3 linked regions of the Kluyveromyces lactis genome follow. The protein of the gene in region 1 interacts with the protein of each later gene in a biochemical or structural test. Links are inferred from orthologs where the notes say so. Each region holds a gene or a part of one and is shown on either strand. Other genes may lie near its edges.

What was found.
Region 2: the proteins of SPT15 (region 1) and BDP1 form a complex in vitro, tested with the Saccharomyces cerevisiae proteins (2 studies listed by BioGRID). The link is inferred for Kluyveromyces lactis from reciprocal best matches to the Saccharomyces cerevisiae genes SPT15 and BDP1.
Region 3: the proteins of SPT15 (region 1) and NCB2 form a complex in vitro, tested with the Saccharomyces cerevisiae proteins (2 studies listed by BioGRID). The link is inferred for Kluyveromyces lactis from reciprocal best matches to the Saccharomyces cerevisiae genes SPT15 and NCB2.

What each region holds. Positions count from the first base shown.
Region 1 is NC_006041.1:892,600-895,324, reverse strand, and holds SPT15 (TATA-binding protein), read left to right. Parts: upstream 1-1,352; coding exon 1,353-2,054; downstream 2,055-2,725. Other genes in the region: cohesin-loading factor complex subunit SCC4, read right to left, coding at 1-705; PEA2 (Pea2p), read right to left, coding at 2,424-2,725. UniProt on the Saccharomyces cerevisiae protein: General transcription factor that functions at the core of the DNA-binding general transcription factor complex TFIID. Binding of TFIID to a promoter (with or without TATA element) is the initial step in preinitiation complex (PIC) formation.
Region 2 is NC_006041.1:759,890-763,514, forward strand, and holds BDP1 (transcription factor TFIIIB subunit BDP1), read left to right. Parts: upstream 1-1,352; coding exon 1,353-3,068; downstream 3,069-3,625. Other genes in the region: KLLA0_E08449g (uncharacterized protein), read left to right, coding at 1-1,097; phosphatidylinositol N-acetylglucosaminyltransferase GPI15, read left to right, coding at 3,295-3,625. UniProt on the Saccharomyces cerevisiae protein: General activator of RNA polymerase III transcription.
Region 3 is NC_006039.1:578,087-579,980, forward strand, and holds NCB2 (negative cofactor 2 transcription regulator complex subunit NCB2), read right to left. Parts: upstream 1,132-1,894; coding exon 670-1,131; downstream 1-669. Other genes in the region: SXM1 (Sxm1p), read left to right, coding at 1-368. UniProt on the Saccharomyces cerevisiae protein: Component of the NC2 complex which represses RNA polymerase II transcription through binding to SPT15/TBP and thereby inhibiting the assembly of the preinitiation complex.

The sequences.
Region 1 (2,725 bases):
TTTGACATGAGCTGTGTCCATTTCACTAAAATAAACCCACATATCAGCTGGTATGCTGATCCCTTCATCGAGACAGTAATTAATAAACGAACACATCACAACGAAATGGAATTGTTCATGGTTTTTGATCACGAACAGAATATCTCTATAATCAGCCAACTTCCTTTCATTGCCTGGAATCAACTGCAATCTAAAATATTGAAACAGCACTTTCCAAAGAGACGTATCGAGCTTTGATATAAGCTTGGATAGATTTCGTAGTGCAATCTTATTATGACTTGGATCATTTTTATACAGCGGGATCTTACAAAGAAGAACGTAATCCACATACATCTTCTCATTGACCCATGTTGTACTTTGCAACCTCTCTCTGAGTGCTGAAAAATATTGCTCTGCGAGATCAATGCGATGAGTCTCTTCAATCAATAACGTAACAAGATCGTTAGTGATCTGAAAATCTTGCTCTAATGAAAGCTGGAAACCGCCATCCTTCAAATATCGCAGACATCGTATAGCCTGATTTATCAATGTATAATACTGACGAAGTTCCAATTCAGTTTCAATTTCCGTAACAACATCATGTGCAGTCAAAGTGTACTGTTTCGAGAGATGATATATCAAATCTAACTGCTGTGCTTTTCTGCTCAAGGACTTTTGATCAAAAGAGATCGGAACGTTTAGCAGCTCATCTTTGAAGGTGTCCATAGCTAGTATTGTGTATCATACATCAATCGGAAGCTATTTTCAGCATGGGCATATGCTGTTCTTGAGACACGTTAATTGACGTGTATTATTCTAGGGCAAAATGGTTATATGAAACTTTGAAATATATAAGGGAACCAGGATCCACGACAAAAAGAAGACAATAAGTAAACCACCGATGTACTCAGATCGACATGGTATAACTTCATCAAATAACAGGTTTGGAAATGACATGATTGAACTGTTTACAAGTCAAAGAAGTCTACTCTGGTGATTCATCATCATACTAATGAAAATTGATCATGTGACCTAGCTTCATCAGATTTCTTTCCCGCTTACAACTTTTTAACATAGGAAACCAAATATAAATCGTAGAACAAGTAGGAAAAACCAGTCAACACACAAAGATTGCAGTTTTAAGTCGTGTATTTCTGAGGCAGCCCTTTAAGTTATATCAATACTTGTATACTATCTGCTACTCCTACACGATCTATTTTTTTTGAAGACAGTTTTCTTCTTTGGTTTTCAAGACTTTCAATTGTTTGGTGAAATACTTCAAGAAGCCATCTTTCAGCGTTCGTTTATTATCAACTGTTCCGAGTATATCGTATCAAGTTAAACTCTACTACCGCAGCTTAGCTTAGAAGAAGATGTCAGAAGAAAATAGAATGAAACAGTTCCAAGAGGAAAACAAGATAGTATTTGATCCAAGTACACGATCAGTATGGGAAACTCAAGAAAAACAAGAACATGAATCTTTACCTGGAACAGATGCTAATGCGGAAGACGCAGATAAAGGTTCTGCCACTTCGGGAATCATACCAACCCTACAGAATATTGTGGCCACTGTGAATTTGGACTGTAGGTTGGATCTAAAGACGGTAGCATTACACGCTCGTAATGCAGAATACAATCCAAAGCGTTTTGCGGCTGTGATTATGCGTATCAGAGAACCGAAGACTACTGCATTGATTTTCGCATCTGGTAAGATGGTTGTTACTGGTGCTAAGAGTGAGGATGATTCCAAGTTGGCTAGTAGAAAATATGCCAGAATTATTCAAAAGATTGGGTTCAGTGCCAAGTTTACTGATTTCAAGATCCAAAATATTGTCGGCTCATGTGACGTGAAGTTCCCAATCCGTTTAGAAGGTTTAGCATTCAGTCACGGTACTTTCTCTTCATACGAACCAGAGTTATTCCCTGGTCTTATCTATAGAATGGTGAAACCTAAGATTGTGTTACTAATTTTCGTTTCCGGCAAGATTGTCTTAACTGGTGCCAAACAAAGAGAAGAAATCTATCAAGCGTTTGAAGCTATCTACCCTGTGTTGAGTGAATTCAGGAAGCTATGATGTTTTATTGGATGGTACTATAAAAATTCATTTTTTTATTTTATTAAACAATGCACTAATTCGATTCTCGGAGGTTTTGTCTCGTCTTCTGCAAGAAAACCCTTTGTTCCTTCTATCTTTCCTTCCTTATTGTCTTTTCATATCCATTCTGCTATAATAGAAGTCTTTATTATTGGCACCTTACTCTATGTATCATATAGTTCATACACAAATTTAACGACTAATAGCCATCGGTAAATGGTTTCCAGCTTGAGTTTGAAATGGATGAGGAATTCTGTCTTAGATAATGTTACAAAGTTAATTACATTTCAACAATATATTGAAGTTTAATGCTAGTATTTTTGGATCGTTAAGGGCAACATAAAACGATTAGCGGTATCCTTTATTTTCCAACTTGTTCTCCAACTGTTGTCTCAACAGGCGTTCTTGTTCTAGTTCTTTTTCGTATCTTAACTGAGTATCAGCTAAGATTCGTTTAAATTCTTGCTTCATCATTGAGAAAGATTGATGGTTAGAAGCAGATGTTGAGGATTTGATGTCACTGGATTCGGAAATTGCTTGTGAGAAGGATCTATCGATATCCATTGGAATTGATTGCATCTGTGAAGTGACTTTCGATTTCTCCTCGCGCTCCTTCAACTTACTATGATAGTGTAAGAGCTCTTCAGAAA
Region 2 (3,625 bases), about 130 kb from region 1:
TCAACGATATGAAAGTTATAAACTCCGATTTTGATACTGGTGCTGTGTTCGCTACTGCAGCAGAGGACGGTGTTAAAGTTTGGGATATTAGAGCCCGAAACAATGTTGCGTCTCTTCAAAACGATAAAGCATCTCCCTTCTTCTCATTAGATTCAAGGCACAATATGTTAGCATGTGGCACAGAACTAAAGGATTACGATGCTGAATTGCATATTTATGATATAAGAAACTGGACTAAACCTGTGCGGTCATTTGTGGACTCGCATCATGATGACATTACAGATATAAAATTCCATCCATGCGACTCAAACTTGCTGATGAGTGGGTCTACTGATGGTTACGTCAACATCTATGATTTGACTCAAGACGATGAGGAGGATGCACTACATCAAGTTATCAACTTTGCTTCCATCCATTCTTGTGGATGGCTTGGCCCGAAAAGGATTTGGAGTTTGTCGCATATGGAAACTTTTGGTATTCACGAATTGAACGATAAATCAGATGAAATGATAGAGCCTAAACCACTAGAATTTGGAGACGTAAGAGATAAGTGGGGTTGTGACTATGTTATTGATATATACCCATCTTTCATTGCAACTGGAAAAACTCATGAAAGTCAAGGTGAACTCAAGATAATACCATTCCAAAATGAACAAGTTGATGTTTCTAGTGCCCTGGTAATACCTGATGCACACGGAAATGAAGTGATAAGAGATGTGCTTATTCCAAAAAATCAAACTTCCCTCCTATACTCTTGTGGTGAAGATGGTTACGTTAATGTATGGAAGGACACTACGAACTCTTTAAACGTTCCACACAACTTTTGGGATTATACACTACCATTCACAGCATTTGAAAACTCTGTCAGAGAAATTGAAATGGATATGGGACAAGAAACAATGCAGCACGAATCATCCTCAACATCTGAACAGGATTCTACTTCTACTGGTAGTGATGATGAACATAAAGAAAAGAAAGATAAGAAGGAGAAGAAGCACAGCAAGAAGAATAAACATGGGAAAAAAGATAGGAAGAGTGATAAAAAATCCAAGTCTAAATCCAAGAAGGAGAAAGAACACCGTTATAAACCTTATTAATATTGTGTATGCTATTATCTTCTTTTACATGAACAGTCTATTTAATGCCTTCGCATATTTAAAATATACACTTATTACCCGGATATATGTCACTGTGCCTTGTTTGATTGACGAAAATATGGAATTTTGTAATAAATATGATAGTAAACATTAATATGGCGACAGTGCTATATATTTTGATGAATGCACTATTCATTAGGTAGTAGCTAACATACAACAAAGAATCTTTGAAGCTACACTACCCAGCTGACAACCATGAGTAGTGTTGTGAATAAAAGCGCCAAGCGCTTTGTTCCTAAATTAAGAGAAAGACGGATACTGAACTCCACACCGGCTCCAACTGTGGTACCACCAGTGTCCGATGACATAACCAAGTCTACTGCTGAAGATTCCCATGAAAATGAAGCCGATAACGAGGACGGACTGAATGAGTCTAGTACAGATAATACGGAGCCAAAAAGAAGTGATGAAGAATCCAAAATTAACGAAACTGTTGACGAGGACGATCCACTAAGTCAAACAACTTTAGTCAAGAATTTGAACCCATCAAGAACCAGCACTCAGATACCGGTTGTCACAGTATCAAGTGCTACCAACCGCCGTAGGTCTAGTAGACTAGACTCGCTCTCTGGAACTAAACCTACTTTCAAGTCTGGTTTCATGGGGCCTGGTTCCTTGAATACGGGAAATGTACCAGAAAGAAGCAGAAGGCTCTCCAGTATATCCACAGGGTCACTGAGAAAGAAGAGTTTAACAGTTAATTCGGAGAATGATTCTTCACTGCAAGCAATTAAGCGGAGACGAATGTCATCAAGATCCTCAACCGGAAAAGGACCGGGTAAAGTTCAAAGGATTAGTATAGTATCACGGATGAGTAGTCCAGACGACGATTCATTAACTGCAAAACCAGCTGGTGACTCTGAAAACTGCGACGATATCTTCCAAAGAACTGATGATCTTTATCAGAAATACACCATTACCAATTTGAAGATGATTCCAAAGAAAATAGCGGACAAAGATTCATCCAAATACTTGATAGACGAAGAAAACTTTACTATGGCGGACCTATGTAAACCAACGCTTCCCATAGGTGAAATATCTGAGAATTTTAGCAGGGCTAAGGAAGCTGCCAAGCTAAAGATTGAAAGGAGAAGAAAACGCAGGGAACTACGAGAAATGGCTAGAAAAGAGTTCAAGTCCTTGAATGAACTAGTAACGGAAGAAGAAAAACAATTGAAAGAGGAAAGAAAGAAAGCCGCCCAGGATCTTTTTGATACGGAAGTGCCAGATGAGAAACCCCATCAAGGTATTCAATTGAAGATGGCCGCAGATGGATCTATGGTTGTTGATGAGGAATCTATGGTTGTCGACAGACATAAGAACGCGTCTCTTGAAAATTCATCTAAAGAAAAAATTCAGAACAATCCATTCGAAAATTTATACAATTCTGCTACGTACGGTCGTCAGCAGTTTACAGATCCATGGACTATTGAAGAAATGATCAAGTTTTATCAGGCGTTATCAATGTGGGGGACAGATTTCAATCTAATATCTCAACTGTTTCCTTATAGGTCAAGGCGGCAAATCAAATCAAAATTTGTGAACGAAGAAAAAAAGCATCCTGTCATGATAGAACTTGCATTGAGATCTAAGCTTCCGCCAAACTTTGAACAGTATTGCAAAGAAACAAGAAAAAATATCGGCACGGTTACTGAGTTCAACAAGCGCTTAGATCAACTACAAGTGGAACATGAAGAGCATCTAAAGCAAATTGAAGTAGAACGTCAAAATGCTAGAGAGCAAGACATCAAGCAACAAACTGTTAAAGAGCATGAAAGATCACAAAAAGGTAAACATGGAGGTAGGTACGATCAACTCAAAGGATACAGAAAATCGGAAATCGTTCTTGGATCTATCGATGACCTCAAAAAGAAGAGAGCTGAGGAAGCAGCTATTGAAGCTCAAACTTAGTATAATATTAAGTATGTATCTCTAAAATATTTGATCTGTCTTAAGAAAGGACTCTTTCAACCTGAATTCATATTCATGGAGTTGTGCAGACTCTAACATGTTGTCATTTTCTTAAAATTCAAGACGAAAAACACGAAAGTTTATTCAAAAAACCCTTTGCATGATTAAAGGTAGTGATTAATTAAGAGAAGTAACCTCTGACTGGCTTTTACTTGGTACGACAAGTATGACTGTCACCACAATAGAGCATAATAATAATGTTGCTATTAAATTTGTCTCGACAAACAGATCAGTTAGCCGTATCATCTCAAGACAACAATCTATTATCTTTCTCTATGTTATATTATCAATTATCAGACTATCATACGCAGATACATGGCCGGCTCTAAAATATGTGAATCCAATTTGTCTCCTCCTTTTCATTAGAGTACCAATTATAGATTCAGTACAGTCTATTGCCAACCAGGGCATTCAAATATCATGTTCGGGAGGGCTTTTGTTGTTCCCCAGGGATTGGAATTATGCATTATTCACAAGTATCAAATTCATCCCTCAGG
Region 3 (1,894 bases), on another chromosome or scaffold:
TGTCTATGTTCCAGTTGCCTGAATTACCAAGTTGCGTTACTGGCTTTATGAAACCATTAGCCAACAAACTAGTGAAACTAGTACAGGAACTTCCAGATGCTATGAGTAGGCGTACAAAGATCGGAAATGGAGAATTTGATGCAGAAGATGATAATGATAATGAGGGCCTCGATTTCTATGATGAAATTGACGACGACTTCAATGATTCTCCGTTAGATGATATCGATCCATTCTCAAAATTGCATGAATTCTTCGTATCACTACAGCAGTATAATCCCGAAAGGTATCATATTGTGATGCAATCAATGGACAGCGACTCTCAAGATGCATTGAAAACAATACTTGAGTTTGTAACTTCAAGCTTATGAACGCGTGCCTTAACCAATAATGATAGAAAATGATCCGATAAAATCTACAAACGGCAGAGTATAATCGTTCCAAATTCAGAATTGGACAGGTATACATATTCTATAAACGCACTTCAGTCAATCACATGAGGTATTTCATACATACTCCCGTCCTTGAAATGCAGAACGAATTTTCAAACTCTTTCATATAACAATAAATCGTACTATTACACAAGTATTTCTATAAACTTTTCTAGAGCAAGTCTGTCAAGTATAGAGGAGTGAGTTTTGAAGATAATGCAACACTTTGTTTGTTATGTTTTCAGAATTCTTCGGCCTTTACGCCAACTTCTGGATCGTTGCTTGAGGCGTCCGATACTGATGTCTGTTGTAACCTTGACCTAGATTGTCTGAATAATTCTTCCTGTTGTCGTAGTAATTCCTCCTCAGACAAACCGGATTTCTTGAATTTAGCATCCCGCCTCTCTCTAATCTTCTGGTTTTCTTTGTGTTGATGTAAAATCTCTTCTAATGGTGGAATAAATTCATCAAACTCCAAATCTTGTAAGGATTTGATCACGTGATCAGGCGCTATCGTCTTTTTCAACTCTTTATCTGCGATCTCGCTAGCAGAACCCGCTAGCATCATGATGAACTCTACCCCACATTCGATGATTATTTCACGAGCCTCCTTACTGAATGTTAGATCGGAATCAAGTACTTCAGATATGATTTTTTGAACGGTAGCCTTCGGTAATGTAACGTCGTCAACCTCTCCAACCATGTTTTCAATTGCTTATGGTTGAAATTCTAACGGTCTTTATTTTCTAAGATAAAGCTTGTGATTATTATTTTTTGGTTTTGCAAGCTTCCCTGAAAAAACTATAATACTCTCGAACTTAATTCTGTGCTGCAAGTCAATATACCAAACAAGCACTTCACGTAGTAATCAATTAGATAATTGGATGAACTTGAGATGATAACAGATTGTAAACAAATTTAACAATGTCAACTTTTGTTTTTAAATGCCTGGTATTACACTTTTTTGTCCTCCTTGAACTCTAGATCTGAATTATGTATAATAATATATACTAAAAAAATACTCATCGCTATTTCATTCACTATGCAAAAAAATGATATGGCTCGCCAAATTGGCACATTTTTTGATGCTTTATATATAAAACTACGAATCAAACTAAGAAGAAAAGTTGAAAATAAAAAAAAAAAAATTAAAACAACAACACACATCGCACACATCGCATCACCTATGCAAACAAGGGACAATAAGGGAATTCTGATTGGAAAATATATATATATAGATGTATATTCAAATTAGCAACAGGACAGAGACATATAAGTGTTGACCTTGGTTGTTAGGCAGGAGCTCTTTCCTTACTTGACGTAAATTCTTTATGTTGTGTTAATCACCCAGCTTCCTCTCATCACAGTAGAAATGCTAACTAGTGTTTGTTAGGAGATATGAAGTGTATAACTTGAAAGCAGGAAGGCAATGTTTGGAGGTTGTAAAATAAGATTGCAAAAGCTGA